Macaca fascicularis: one gene and its partner. The protein of the gene in region 2 interacts with the protein of the main gene of each other region in a pairwise test. Links are inferred from orthologs where the notes say so. Each region holds a gene or a part of one and is shown on either strand. Other genes may lie near its edges.

Region 1 (6,962 bases), on a different chromosome or scaffold from region 2:
TCTGATTTATTCACAATTCTGATGGTAAGCAGAACACTTACTTAATTTAGCAAACTGCTTCCTAACTATCCTCCCCACATAAATAAAACAAAAAACTAAGGTCTTCAAAGAATATTTCAGTAACAAGAATATAAAAATATTGAATACTAAAGAAGAGCAATAGATATAATATTGTAATATCACTTTTATCCAGTGTAAGACAATGTTTAAGCTTTATTTTTATGAAACATTTCAGATTCCCTCATATCACAGCACATCAATAAGCAATATGTACATAGACTGACTTTTATAGTACATGTCATGTCCCAAATTCCCAATCCTAGGTAAGATATCAAGTTACAAAATACAAGTGCTGATAATTAAACTATAGGTAGTATATTAAACAAAAGTGAGTTTTTAGCAATTATGTGAAATGAGGCTTTAATCAAAACGAGACTTAATGCCACAAGGTGCCTTTTTTCCCAAGAGTAATTAATTCAGTCAAGCCCATGATTCCAAGCTCAAGTGACAAGTTTTATATTCTTGAAGTAAACAAGAAGAGTCAATCAATGCTTAAGTGGTATATTTTAGTATATGTTATATTTCTGGACAATCTCTCATTGCATTCAATTTTTAGAACTTGTCTTTGAGTTTAATAAAACAAAATAATTAGAGAACAAAGCCCACTCCACTTAGAGGAATGTAACATAATTGTTCTGTCTGGGTACAACACTGGGAGTCTTTTGTCAACTTACCACACTAATTGACTTACCAAAAGCATACTTCCTTCAGCTACAACTGTAATTGGAACACACAGATTTTACCTGAAGAAAATCCTGTACTTCCAGTTTCAAAAAGCAGACAATTCTATGAAGAAGCAACCATTTAAATATCTAACTATACACATTTAAGTTTTTACAACTTCATGCCTTATGAGGAATTTTGATTTCAGAAGTATCATTTCACAGACCCAGCATCATATATTTATACATATTTCATACAGTATAGTATTAGAAACTGTAAATGGCACAGAATAATCATAATTACCACAAAATTTTAACAATTTCCAGTGATCTTAAAAAGACAAATTATAACTGCCTTTGCTCAGCTAAGATATCCAGTTATGGTTATAACTTTCGAAAATCCTAAAGTTATGTGAAAAAACGTAGTCAAAAGAAAATCTGTAAATCTGATACTTTCCAATATTTTAAATATGCATAGCTAAAGCGAAAATAAAGGGGTTGATCTGGCACATGAATAATTAAGTCAATGAATTTTACAACCCTGAGCCATTTTGGCAACTATTTTAGGTTTCACATAATTTTCACAGTCTTAGTACCACCATTTTCATTTAGATAAAAGAAATGACCTTTTGAAATCATGGGCATCAAATTTGGTGCTTATGGACAAGAATCACAACTAGAAGCTAGAGACAAAATGGATCACAGCAAGCATAGTTTCTCTCAAAGTATAAGGAATGTTATAGAACATACAATAGAAGCGATAGTTTAGAAACCTTGGGAAGCTCACATTTCTGATTTTGTTTTACTAAACAATTTGAAGCATTATATTCATGTTTAAAAAAATGAAACAAGAAAAATGCAGCATGGAACATTTTAGAAGTCACAGAAGGTTCTCATCTTCCCTTTGTTTTGGGCACATTGTCTCACCTGTTTTCACTTTGGTACAAAAAGAAACAAAACCGAATCTCTGCTCAGAGTAGTCATAGTGAGAACACTGAGATTTGCATATGTTTTTCTAATTTCCCATCCATCTAGACCCTGAAATCTAAATAAATATTTCAGTTAAAACTTTTTTTCCATTTGCATGACATCTAGGCCACTATATATCCTACCCTGAATGGGGGAGGATGGGACAGCTGTATCTTAAACTGAAGCAGTGGCAGCTAAAACCTGGCAACTGCTGCCAGAGTCCCCAATGTGTCCTGCCTATTATTATTTTTTAAAATGTGACAAAGGCAAAAGCTACAGTTGGAAACTCACGCAATTTAGAAATATGTTGAAAAATTTTATTATAGTCCTTAGGATTTCCAAGTAAACGCTCCTGAATCAAGTATTACAAAGCTGCTAATTAGCAACTGAAAATTAGCCATTCAAATAATATTAGAAATAGTTGCTGAATTGTTTTTATGAAAGCTTCCTCTTGGATTCTGTAAGGATCAGAGTATCTGAATCCACACACCAGCTAGTTTCAAGAAAGAACTCTTTTGACTAAAACTTACCCTAAAACCAATTTTCCCAACGCTTTTCTTTTTCCCAAATAGTCCAACGTTTTGAGGAGAAATAAATGAGGCAGGGTGTTTTATACTGCACTGTACCCTTTAGGAAACCTTTTAGTGAACTGGGAAAATTTTCACAACATAAACTCTATGTTTATAGATATTATTACTCTGCTGTATAATATATACTGTGCGGAAAAAAAAAAGAAGAAAGAAAACACTAGCCTGGGCAACATGGTAAAACCCCATCTCTACAAAAAATACAAAAATTAGCTGGGTATGGTGGTGCCAGCCTGTGGTTCCAGCTACATGGGAGGCTGAGGTGAGAGGATTGCCTGGGCCTGGGAGGTCAAGGCTGCATTTAGTTGTGACGTTGCCACTGTACTCCAGCCTGGGCAACAGGGTGAGACCCTGTCTCAAAAAAAAAAAAAAAAAAAAACCAAAAAGTGTTTTATCAAAGGATAAAACTGAAATGCTATAGTGTATAGTGTGACCATAATTTCAGAAGAGAATCAGCATAATTTAAAAGGATAGCTAGCATACTATATGTTTTAATAATTCCAGTATTTTTGTTATTTGGGCTTAATTTAACTTCTTTTCCTCTTTTTGATTTTTGTATTCTAAGAGGGCACTTTTAATTTTCAAGTTGTGTTTGAAACTATAAAGAGTATGCTAATACAACTTAATATAAATATAAATAATATATAAGCGCTCTCTCTCTATATATACATACATATAAACAGACCCAAGCATTAGACCACTGATGTTGTACTTTCAGGATTCACACGAATAAGTCTAGATGCATTCCTCAGATCTTGGAGTTGCTTGGCAGGTTTCCCCACACCTTCTTCAAACCTTTTCTCCACCACAGGGAGGACTGTTTCATATAAAAAGGATGCATTCTGTCTGATAAAAGCTTTCTTCTCTGGATCCTGCTCACATCGAAGACTATAATCCACATGCTGAACAGCAACCAAAATGATTTCCACCAGGCTCTCCAAAAGTACCATGTGCAGCTCTGGGAAATACAGCTTCAGAGCCTCTTCCAAGAAGCCCATGGTCTGTTTGGTGAAAGCAACCACTGTGTAACTTAGGTTCACCCAGCAGTCATCCCCTGTGTACTGCTCAAAGTTACTTACCCCACAGCTTTTCATCTCTTCTTTGAGCTTCCCCAGGGCTTCTGGCGTCATCAAGTTCATCCTTCTCCACATCTCTTCAGAGTTGCGATGTTTAGTGGCTTCAATGATGATTTCTTTGTAACTGTGCAAGGCCCCTTGGATGTCTTTCACCAGAAGGGCATGGATGATGAAGGTGAGGTCCAGTCCGATATCACCCAGTTGCTGGCAATGCTCCTTAGCCACTTTTACACACTCAGCTGCTGTTGAGAGGCTCTCCTTACTATCAAACACCTGCTTGCTGAAAGCATCCACGAACATGCCCATGGCTGATCTTGCCCAGACCACAAAGGCGGAGTAGCAGCCGCTGTCAGTGCCTGCAAAATCAATCTCAAATTCTCTTGCAGTCTCAAGAAGGCTGGTAAAGAAGACATGGCACAGCTTATGAATATAGAGTAAAGTGGCGCCTTCAATGCGAAGCTGACGAATTGCTGTATGAACAGCGGCTGCCCTGTTTCTCAAAAATAGCTCACAGGCCTTCGTGCACTGGCCCAGCCGGATCAGTTGCGAAACTGCTCTGCGAGTAGCCTTGGGACCACCTCTCAGGGAACGATCTGGGGAGAGTTCGAAAACCAGCACCTCAGTGAGCTGTCGAACTCGCTCCTCCACTTTGGCCCTTAGTTCTTTTACAGGAGGTGGGCTAGGCTTATCTTCCAGGTAATGGTTCAATTTATCCAGCAGGTCAACAGCTCCTTCAAAGTCCCTCTGCGCAATGCAGACATCCAGGTCTTCAGGTAACTCCTGGATCCATTCCATGGAGAGGTCCACGTTCTCTTCCTCTACTTCAGGAACAGCTGGCTCTTCTTCTTCGTCATCCTCAAATGGGTTAGTGGCCTTGGAAGTCACTTGGGGTGGCCCTCGAGGGGCCGCTGCCTCCTCCTGCTCCCTTCGCCTTTTCTCACTGAGGGCTCTCTTGGTCTCCTCCAGCACTTCCAGCCACTCTCGTTTGATTTTAGCATTTTCGGCCTGGAAAATACGGCTCTCGGGGAACATAAGCAGCTTGAACATGTCCTTCATGGGCGGGTTGTCCTTGACATTGACTACGGCCAAACCATCTAGGGAATAGAGAGCGTTGTAGCGATACATGCCCCGCCGCTGCGGCAGCCAGGTAGCCACCAACAAACAATCGTTCATGAGAAAGCCGTGCACCCGCTGCAGTTGGGCCATGTGGTCGGCATCGTATTCCACTAGGTCCCCGTTGTACACCAGGTACTGTCCCGGCGTCTCCAGCAAATGCCTGCAGCCTTCCACCTTCTCAAGCAGGGTGGTGAGAGTGCGCTGCTTTCCTTCCTCGCCTGGACCGGAGCCGTCGCGGGAGGCGCCACCGGGGGTGGAGAAAAAACCGGCCTGGCCTCGGAGGTGGTCTCGGCCCCCCGCCCCACCGACTCCCTCCTCCCCGCCAGACGCGGCAGCGGCTCCGGCGGCAGCTGCGGCAGGCAGCAACGTAAGCGGGATGCTCTCCAGGCTGCTCTTCTGCTCCGTCAGCAGGTGGCTGAGCTGGTACATCTCGCTCTCCAGGTAGGAGATCTCACGGGCCGTCTCTATGAACTGCCGGTAGTTCTGGTAGACGTTGCGCTTCAGGTTCTGCGCCGTCTCCTCCGCCAGCGCCTGGATGCGCTGCCGGTGCTCCTGGAGGTCCCGGTCCCCATCCGACTGCTGCGAGAGCTGCTTCACGTACAGCCGCGCCTCAAAACCCCCTGACTCCAGCTGCCGACGCAGGCGGCTCGCCCCACTGTCCGACATCGCCATCGCCATTTCCGTCCGGGTCTCACGCAATCACTGTCACTATCGGCGCCGCAGCCGCCGCGGCTGTCTACACCCACCCAAGACCCGCCGAGCTCCTGGGCTGAGGAAGCAGGAATTGGAACAAGACGAGTGCGCCTGCGCCGGGTCTGAGCGTCAGACACTGCGCCTGCGCAAGGGGCCAGGCGCAGACATTGCGCCTGCGCAGGAATGCCATCAGTTAAGGCGCATGCGCCGGAGGAGCTAGTGCGGAAGTGAGTGGAGAGGCCGAGAGCAATTTGGGTACTGCGCATGAACCGAGCGTGACGTTGAGGTTTGAAATAACCGGCAAAGAGTAAAGGCTGGAACTAGCTTCCTGAAAGCTTCGTAGGGCCGGTGCCCTGTGAGCCCAGGTTCTGCGCCCACTAGGAGGTGTCGTGCTGACTGCTTGTTTTAAAGCCCTAGAATCTTGGCTTCGGCGTTTGGGGTAAGCGCCGTTCTCGTTCACGTTCTCTTTCTTAAGCGAGTTTCCGCGAACTCTCGCGGGATTGACTGGCCGTCTCGAGAGCCGGTATCTCCTAGGAGCTAGTCCTGGTCCTCCGCTAGGCGGCTTGGGGTCGCAGCCTAACTCGGAGCCAGCCTGACACCGGCGGATCCCGCCTGTGATCCTGGCAACGATGGACGATGACCTGATGTTGGCCCTGCGGCTTCAGGAGGAGTGGAACTTGCAGGAGGCGGAGCGCGATCAGGCCCAGGAGTCCCTGTCGCTAGTGGACGCGTCGTGGGAGTTGGTGGACCCCACACCGGACTTGCAGGCCCTGTTTGTTCAGTTTAACGACCAGTTCTTCTGGGGCCAGCTGGAGGCCGTCGAGGTGAAGTGGAGCGTGCGAATGACCCTGTGAGTTCCGAGCCCCGCTGGGGAAAGAGGCGGGACTGGCAGTTCTCCTGCAGCCCCCGATCCTGGTCTTCTCTCCTTTCTCTGGTCCGACGGTCCCAGGGGGCATTAAATGAGGGGGGAGTCTGGTTTTGGACCTGGCAATTCCTGCCTTGGCGTATTTCTCTTTTTCTTACCTTTTCTCCCACTCGAAAAATAAGAAAGCTGTGTAGACCCCACCGCCACGGTTGGACTCAGGGCCATAACGAGAAAAGAGATTTGTGTTTGAATCTCACTAAACTTGAAAATAACAAGTTCCTGATTTGCCTTATGATAGTGCTGTAGGACCCTGAAGGGAAAAGCAACCAAATCTGCCCCTAAGAAAGTGCTGAGGACGCAGAGTAACCTCCAAAGGATGTGCGTTCCCCTCCTCTCTTTCCCGTTAGGAACCCACTTTAGTGAGCTCGTGTGTTGCAGTGGGGATCTTCAGTGATGCTTTTAAAACGATTCTTTTTCTACATGCTAAATTTGAGAAATCCTTATTTGAAATAATAATCTACTCCTGCACGTGAATAGGGTGAAGTTTAAGATACAGTTGTATACCACCAGCATGCTTGTTTTTGAGTTGACAGAAAACAACCTACAAACAAATTAAGATATCATATTAAATTGTGTTTAAAGTACCAATCTCCTTTATACAGGCGTCTGTTATCATTTTGGAGATACACTATTGGAGATACCTGCTTGTTAATAACACCAAACTGTGATTTGTCGTAAGGAGACTGGGAGTAGCAGAATGGGATTGCCTTCGAGCTGTTGCAGCCTAGCTAGGGCAAGGGAAGCTGCAGTTGGGCCATGTGGTCCGCATCGTATTCCACTAGGTCCCCGTTGTACACCAGGTACTGTCCTGGCGTCTCTATCAGGTGCCTGCAGCCTTCCACCTTCTCAAGCAGGGTGGTGAGAGGGCGCTGCT
Region 2 (7,793 bases):
ACCTGTCAAAATGTATCGTAATATCTAATATTCTTACCTAATATTCAGATTTATATACAGAAAAGCCATCAACATTAAGTGGCACAAATTGATACAATTTTGAAAACCAATGTCACTATTCGGGCCTCTGGAGAAAATAATCTACTGTAGAGTATTTAAATTCTACTTCATCGTAGAACTAGAACTCATCATTTTTACTAGAATTCTTTTAATTCAGCATGTTTTATTTTAATGCCAAATTAGTGAACACCCAACAAAAAGAATTATGTATTTAACACATTTTTATTTCAGAACTCCACATAAAGATGACCTCAAAACCTCAAGTACACACACATTTCCACTCTACCTAGATTTCCAGTGCTCATTTTAGAAATCTGTCATCACAAAAGTCATCTACTTCTTCTCATCCTACCACTTTCAAAAAAGTTTAAATTTAGGAAAGGTCTGTTGTGAAAATTTGTTCCTATTTTTTTCCAAGCTGAAAAGTATAGTTTCTTTCAAATTAGATATCAATGCATAAATTACAAAGGGGGAAAATTGGAAAGATGTTAACATATAATACAACTAATATATTAACATAATTGTTATATATTAACATATGATACTACATAGTAATAATATATACTTGTGTTTGAAACAATGCTTAAAAGCCACACATTGGCAGTAAGTCTCCTGTAAAATTCCCTTGAATATTTTGTAAAAAATGGCTGGTAAATGAGATTCTTAAAAAAAAAATTCCTTCCCCCACCATGAAATTTGATTTTTAAAAATTCCACTGCTTATAGTTAGATTTGTACTATTAAAATCCCTTTTAATAAAAAGGAACACACTAACATATTAAAATGCATTTATATTTTTTCAGTTGAACTTTCCTTAGTAGTTCTGTTGATAAATCAAATAGTATGCATAAAATTCCAAATCCACTTAGCTTTTATATCCAGAGACTAAACAGTCATCTTTCCTTTTTTTTTTTTTTTTTTGGAGGCACCTCAAAATATGCTTAAAAGGCCATCCTTTCTCCATTCTCTTCCTACCATTTAATGGGGCTAAGGGTTAAAAAAAGAAGCTATCATCCATTCCAGAACTATATTCCAAACATATAGATTAACTGACCCATCAGTGAGAAATTCAGCATGGTGTGAGTATATGAGTGCTAGTCACTCTCCACAGCAATTCTTTCTAGCACTGTTTTGAGCCAGCAAGGAATTGAATGGGCCAAGGAATCCTGCTGAGCATTTCAATTCTTGTCAATTTCTATCCCCTGGTGGTTTATAATAATAGAGTTAGCAGGGAGAACAGAGGAATAACATTAGTGACACATGTGCTTGCTCTCGCAACAAACCCTTTCTCATAGTCGCTTATAGCTGGTTGTAGTACCTGAGATTTTGCCATTGTTGCACCTGTTCTGAAAAGCTAATAGGAAAATATACCAAATTTAGAGATGCACATGTGTAATGTTAATAGTAGCACACAGCTAAATTCAGGATCCAATACCAGCCTATATTATTTCATTATTAAGAGAATCAGTGTACCAATGTGATATGAGTCAGTTTTAGGTTCATCTGACAATTCTATGTTCATAATAATTAGTCATGAGATATTAGAGGCAACAAGAAACATGTTCATCCCAATTATGAATTCTTCTCCATAATTTTTCCTAAGAACTAGTTGTTCTGATTATTACTATGGTGCCTGAGTATGATCTATGGCACTGCTTTGCAATATTTTGTATTCTGCAGCATAACTGCAGATTTGTAAATGTACTATAGCATCAAGTAGAGAGGTAAAGGAGAATCTGATGAAAAACAACAAACGTATGCACTATGGCAGAAAGGAAAAAAGCAAGACACCATAGTCTTCATGATAAATTGGTTGTATTGTGACATAGGACATTTCAAACAGCTCAGGAGTAGTGAGAAAACTGCTCCCTCTGGAGGAATATTAACTTTAAGTTCACTTATGTATTAACATCATGATTTCACAGTACATGTATAGGTTTGAAACTCATAGAGCTCAGTTCCTTTTACTAGTGGGATAGATCAACCTTGTCACTCATACCTCACATTCATTTCCTAAAGGAACTTTAAAATAATCTTCGCCAGTGATAAACACTTTTAATGTTAGCATTTACTTTGTGTAACCAAAATGAAAACCAGTTTGCAATATAGTCTATTATTAAGCAGAAGGAAACTCTACTATCTTAGTTACTAACTAAACCTGTGAAATAACTTGAATTGTGTTCTTAAAGCTATTCATTTAAAAAATAAATAAAAGATTAGAGCAACTATAAAAATTGTGCTTAAAACCCTATGAAAATTAATTTCTAGGTAGTTACCTTGATTACAATCAATAACATTGCAAAATTCCCTGACGTTGTTTTCATTGATTTCAGCTTGCTTTCTTTCAATAAATGCAGATATTCGTCTGTCAATCTACAAACAACAAGTTTTAACAGTGTAAACATAAGATTTTTAAAAATAATACCCTCTCACCCCCGCCAGAAAAACTTACTTCTGCTTTTCCAGCCTTTATCTGAACTACTTCTGGATCAAAATGGATCTGTGTCTTTTTCACATCTCCTAAATCACTTTCTTTGTGTTTTTCTTCCTCTTGTAGGTCACCAATGGAAAATTTGTCATTTGCTTCATTTTTGTTCCCCATTTCTGTTTTTCCTATCTCTTCAACAGCAGTTGTATTCTCCTCTTTAATTGGAGACTGAAGTTTTGCTAAAAAAGGCTGAGAACAACACAATTCCATCTGCTGAGGTTCAAACTGACCAAAATTAATTACACATTTAATATATTTACATAAATTTCTGCAAAGTAAATGAAATACTTAATATCAGTTAATAAATATAAAAAGTTGGTATACCAAGACACATAGATCTGACCACATGTAAGTATTTACTATTCTCTGCTATTGTAACCATTATCATTTGCTATAAATTAGTTTTAAAAAAGGAGAGAGGAAAAAAGAAAAGAAAAAAGAAAAGAAAACCTAAGGAAATTTAAAATTTTCTTTGAGAGAATCATTCTGTCACTCATCTTTTATTTTGTGCCAAATCAAAGCCTTCAGCCTCTGGCACCAATGCCACTTAATTAACATGTCATTCAAATGCCTCCTCAGAACACTAAGGCTTAGTATTTTTCCTCCTTAACATGAGAGCCAGTGCTCTCACTCAGCAAAGCCCTGCATTATCACTATATCACTGGAGATTCTCCACTTGAAACTGCAGTTGGCCAATGTGAATGAGGAAGATAGACATGAAATATATAGGTGTTAGGTTGAGTGAACACTCAGACATTTCCTGACATGGCAAGATCTCTTCTTGGGTCATAAAATTAAATTTTAAAAAAGAAAATGAACAAGAAAAAAAAAAAAGATCTATAGCTGAAAACAGGCAGAGGCCTATCACTATACTACAGGGGAAAACCCCTGTTGTAGACTATAAACTATATTACCCATTTACTGTTCCCCTCCCCCGCTCCCCACAATTAGGCCTCATTTGAGTTCTACAGCTCACTGCTCTGCCCTTTAAAACAGGGTTAACTATTACTTTTAACATGGAACAGTTAAAATTTCCCACAAAGTCAATGAATGGAGGGCTGAAAATTAATGCCTATTCCATTAGTCAAAACACACTAACACTGATAATGTTCCAATTATTTTTTTCATACCCACAATTTTGCTTCCATTGTTTGCTATACTACTCTTTTGAAACCTTGTAACACCTTAATCACAGTAAACTGACCAATCCAAACAGTTTTTCCACTTGTCTTTTTGACACTTCACATTTTACACTTTGATTAGAGATAAACTGCAAACTTACATCAATTATAATTGCAAAGATGTTCAATTAGAAACCAGCAAGGTCATAATACTGTTCAGTTATTAACATGAAATATTTTAAAATATAACAACATTATTATAAATACAGATTCAATATTAACTTCTAATATAAAGAATGAATTATTTCAAACTGTTAAGGAAAAGAAATGATAAAATAGTGACTGGCTACTTACAAAGATGAGACATTAATGTCACAGAAATTACTTTCTTTTTAAAAACTATGCTGAAACTGTTTAATTGCAATAGACACTCCAGGATGTGTCATGCTGGGATAATGCCCCTTCTTGAACCACTGAAAGCACTCCATGAGCCTCCAAACTCACCCAAGGCATGGAATCATTATCATAGCATGACACACACCTGCCGTGTCTTATTGCTTAATTATAACCCACCATAGATGGAACTGTATTGAATTTTCAGTGCAGGTCTAGAATTGAATAGAATTGCATTCATTCACTCTCATACCCACATTGGTCTTTTGGGCTATATTCCCTTAACTGTCCTGATCACTACTGAAATTAACAGATTTAGATTAAATCTGGATGTAAATAACCTTTTGTTAGCAACACTATTAATATAGTGTTTAGAACTGTCAAATACTCCAACTAATTTAACCACAATTAATGTCTATTTTCAATATCGGGTTATCATTTTAGCAAGAAATTTACCTGTAAATATAAAATGTGTTGTTCAAGTGCACTAAAGAGCAATGCAGGCTGGAATGCCGAGAGGCTCTGGAGCTTGTTCCAATCGATTGTAATTTTCACCACATCATCTCTGAGGTTAAGCTTCAAAGGGGCAAACCAGCAACATCACAAAAATTACACAATTAAGCTGTACATATGAATTGTCACAAAAATAAGATTTCTAGAGTAACGGGTCTATTTTGCTCTAAGTTATCAAGTTTTTAATAATACACTGAAATGCTCTACGCAGTTCCATTTTAAGAGGCCAAAAAAGCTACAGATTTTCATAAAAAACAAAAACAACATGACATGTCATTCAAATTCTATTCTTGGGTCTGTGTAATGCGACCATTTTAGAGGTAAAAACCATTCATGAAAGATGAAAAGATGAAGGCTCTTTTGATACTTCAATATCTACAAACCTTTGGATGGAGTCCAATATAGGCCTGCCCTATTCAGAATCCTACTACTTCTAGCTCAGAGCCTTAAACAGAGGAAGTACAACTGTTTTGTGAAAGTTTTAACATGCATCTTTCTCTTTATGTACACAAATACATATCAGAAATATATCATTATTCTGATGTCCTCCAAATCACATTTTTAGTTTTTTAACTTTTAACCAATTTTTAAACTAATTTAAAAGTCAAGATTATTCATACATATAAAGTGTAGGGATAAATGGCAACATGTTTATTTCAAATGAAAAACTATTATTTAGCTACAGAAGTCTGAAGCTGAAAAACAAAGACTTCTCCACTATAGTGACATAAGTTGCCAGACTGGATGAAATGTCCAGATCTTTTGCTAAATGCTAAGATATCAGTGCTCATTATATGGAAATTTCTATCAGTTGGTGATCTAATAGAATAAAATCATACCCAGAAAACTACCAACAACCTGAATATAAGATTATCATCAAAATGAGTGAAAAGTTTACAATGAGAGCGCCCATCTGCAGTCTTTTGAGTAAATAAAAGTGAACCATCACAAACTTTTCTAGGGACATGTGTTTATAGCATAGTATAAGAATACACTTCATAGTGGAATCAACTTAACATAATTTATTCAAAATGAGTCATCTTTTCTACAAAATAAAGGTGTTACATGAGTTCAAATACAGATTTTATTAGTCATAATTATAATAAAAAAGATGAATCACTGTACAAAGATCAAAAAGATGTAAGGTTACCAATAAAAAGATAATATATTGAATACTTTGTGACAGAAATGAAGATGAGAACAGAAGCATTTAGAAGTCCATATTAGACAAGCGTAAAGATACATGAAATTTCATGTAGGCTGCACTGGCAAAGATTATAATATGTTAAGATTTTACGTTAAAGTGAATGCATTCATTTACATTATTTTAATTCCTATAAAGATTTTGTTAGACAACAACCTGTATTATGTATGGAAGTAACCTATTATTGTACTTTCATAGTCTTCAAAGAGATCTACAGTTGATCACAGAAAACTTAAGAATACAGCTTGGGGATAAAGCAGGCAAATCCTCAACCAAAGCAAAGTATCACATTTTCTAGAGAAAATAACTTATAGAAAAATAAGTCTTAATGTTTCGTTCATAGTGTCATTTCAATTCAGCAGAATTACATAAGCTTCAAGTGCAATTAAGAATAACTGGTCTTTTAAGAAACTCACATAATAATGTCACAAATTAATTTAAAACTATTCTAATACACCTAACTATTCATTCAACAAATTCATTATTAGTAATATGAATTCTATGCATTTTGCCCTACAGAACTTGGAAGAGTAAACCATTCACTCGAAAATCTCTATTAGTCTGCTATTAATATAGACTATTTAAATAAATATTTTCAGTAAACACTTTACTAAATTAATACAAAAATCCAAGCTAAAAATAAGTAAGTGTTTAGCTTGGTAAGATGGACCATCCAGAGGCAAGCAAAAAGGTTAAAATTAGTAAATTTTGTGATCTTAAGTAAAAAATTCTTTTTAACATTCAGTTTTATGTTTCCTACTGAGATCTAATAATACAATGATACTTAGGGATGACACAGGATGAAGTTAGGCATGTTACAACATACCTTCTAGAAATCTTTTAAAGTGGTTGCAAAAGAAAATACTGATTTCTCTGGGGGCAATTTTGCAAGTGTGGAACTCTGGCTTTCACTCTTAATACTTCTCAAAATATAGAGTATTATGAAAACAGTTTGCATTTAACTGATGAAACAATCATATTTTTGACACCTGTATAGGAGGTCCCTTCACTGTGTCATGGTAAAGTAACCAAATATTTACTGTCAACATTTTTGACAGGTGACACAAATAAATTGTAATCGCTTCTTTACTTGTAGAGTACTTGAATGTTTAAAATTTTCTAATGAGTTTGAAAAATTCAGTATGCTAAATGTTTCAAAAGAAACGTTTAAATCATTGCTCAGTATTTTTTAAAAATATTCCATCTTCTGTTAATAGGTGAGCATAAACTTTTTTCATCTTGACATTAGAAAATAAACAAACTTAAGTTCCAACGTCGCCATAAAAAGTTCTCTAACTTTTAAACCATTTAAAAGGTCTTGGGTCTTAAGACTGGAATATATAACAAAACACCCCAAGCCTTTAAAAAACGATTTCGGTAAGCACTTGGCAAACAACTGAATTTAAAAGTTGTATCTTTAAGCAGACTCCATTAATAATTGCGTCATTACATAAAACCGTTTAACTTACAGTAATGTTCTTTGTAAGACACAACACACTATGATTTTTTAAAATAGTAACTTTTTAAAAAGCTGATTCTCCATCTACTCAAGGCTTTAAAAATAATTTTCACAAATCAGACAAATGTTCTATTTTCATAAGAATTTACCATTATCTTTGACACAAATGCCTGCCGTGTCCACATGCGCTAGTGCCAGCCTCAAAACAAACTTTTACGGCTAGAAAATGGTCTATGTAAGATAGAAAACATTTCCTTTTAAAAGGCAGGTAAACAAGCGTACTTTTAAATTGTTTCTCATTTAAAACTTGCTTTTAATTTTACACCGTGAAACGAAACAGTGACTTGATCGAAGAAGCCCACTAAATTCAAAACCAATTTTACTATGGCATTTCTGCAAAAGCGATTTATCAGTCAGTTAAACTAGTTAATAGTTAAATAACGACAGTTCTAAACGCAAACAGCATCAACGATGGATAACTCATCCAACTTTACGCTAGAAGTATTTTAAACGAATTCCTTTTACTTTCCTCCCCATTTGAAAGGGTTATAGATGC

What was found. The genes of interacting proteins can lie anywhere in the genome.
Region 1: the proteins of MBIP (region 2) and EXOC8 interact in binary tests that used the Homo sapiens proteins (3 or more experiments, as listed by UniProt). The two-hybrid records come from large-scale screens. The link is inferred for Macaca fascicularis from reciprocal best matches to the Homo sapiens genes MBIP and EXOC8.

What each region holds. Positions count from the first base shown.
Region 1 is NC_088375.1:17,751,910-17,758,871, reverse strand, and holds EXOC8 (exocyst complex component 8), read right to left. Parts: upstream 5,262-6,962; 5' UTR 5,149-5,261; coding exon 2,971-5,148; 3' UTR 184-2,970; downstream 1-183. Other genes in the region: DNA-dependent metalloprotease SPRTN, read left to right, coding at 5,793-6,013. UniProt on the Homo sapiens protein: Component of the exocyst complex involved in the docking of exocytic vesicles with fusion sites on the plasma membrane.
Region 2 is NC_088381.1:104,148,246-104,156,038, forward strand, and holds part of MBIP (MAP3K12-binding inhibitory protein 1), read right to left. Parts: intron 4,638-7,793; coding exon 4,518-4,637; intron 2,737-4,517; coding exon 2,512-2,736; intron 2,433-2,511; coding exon 2,336-2,432; intron 1-2,335. UniProt on the Homo sapiens protein: Inhibits the MAP3K12 activity to induce the activation of the JNK/SAPK pathway. Component of the ATAC complex, a complex with histone acetyltransferase activity on histones H3 and H4.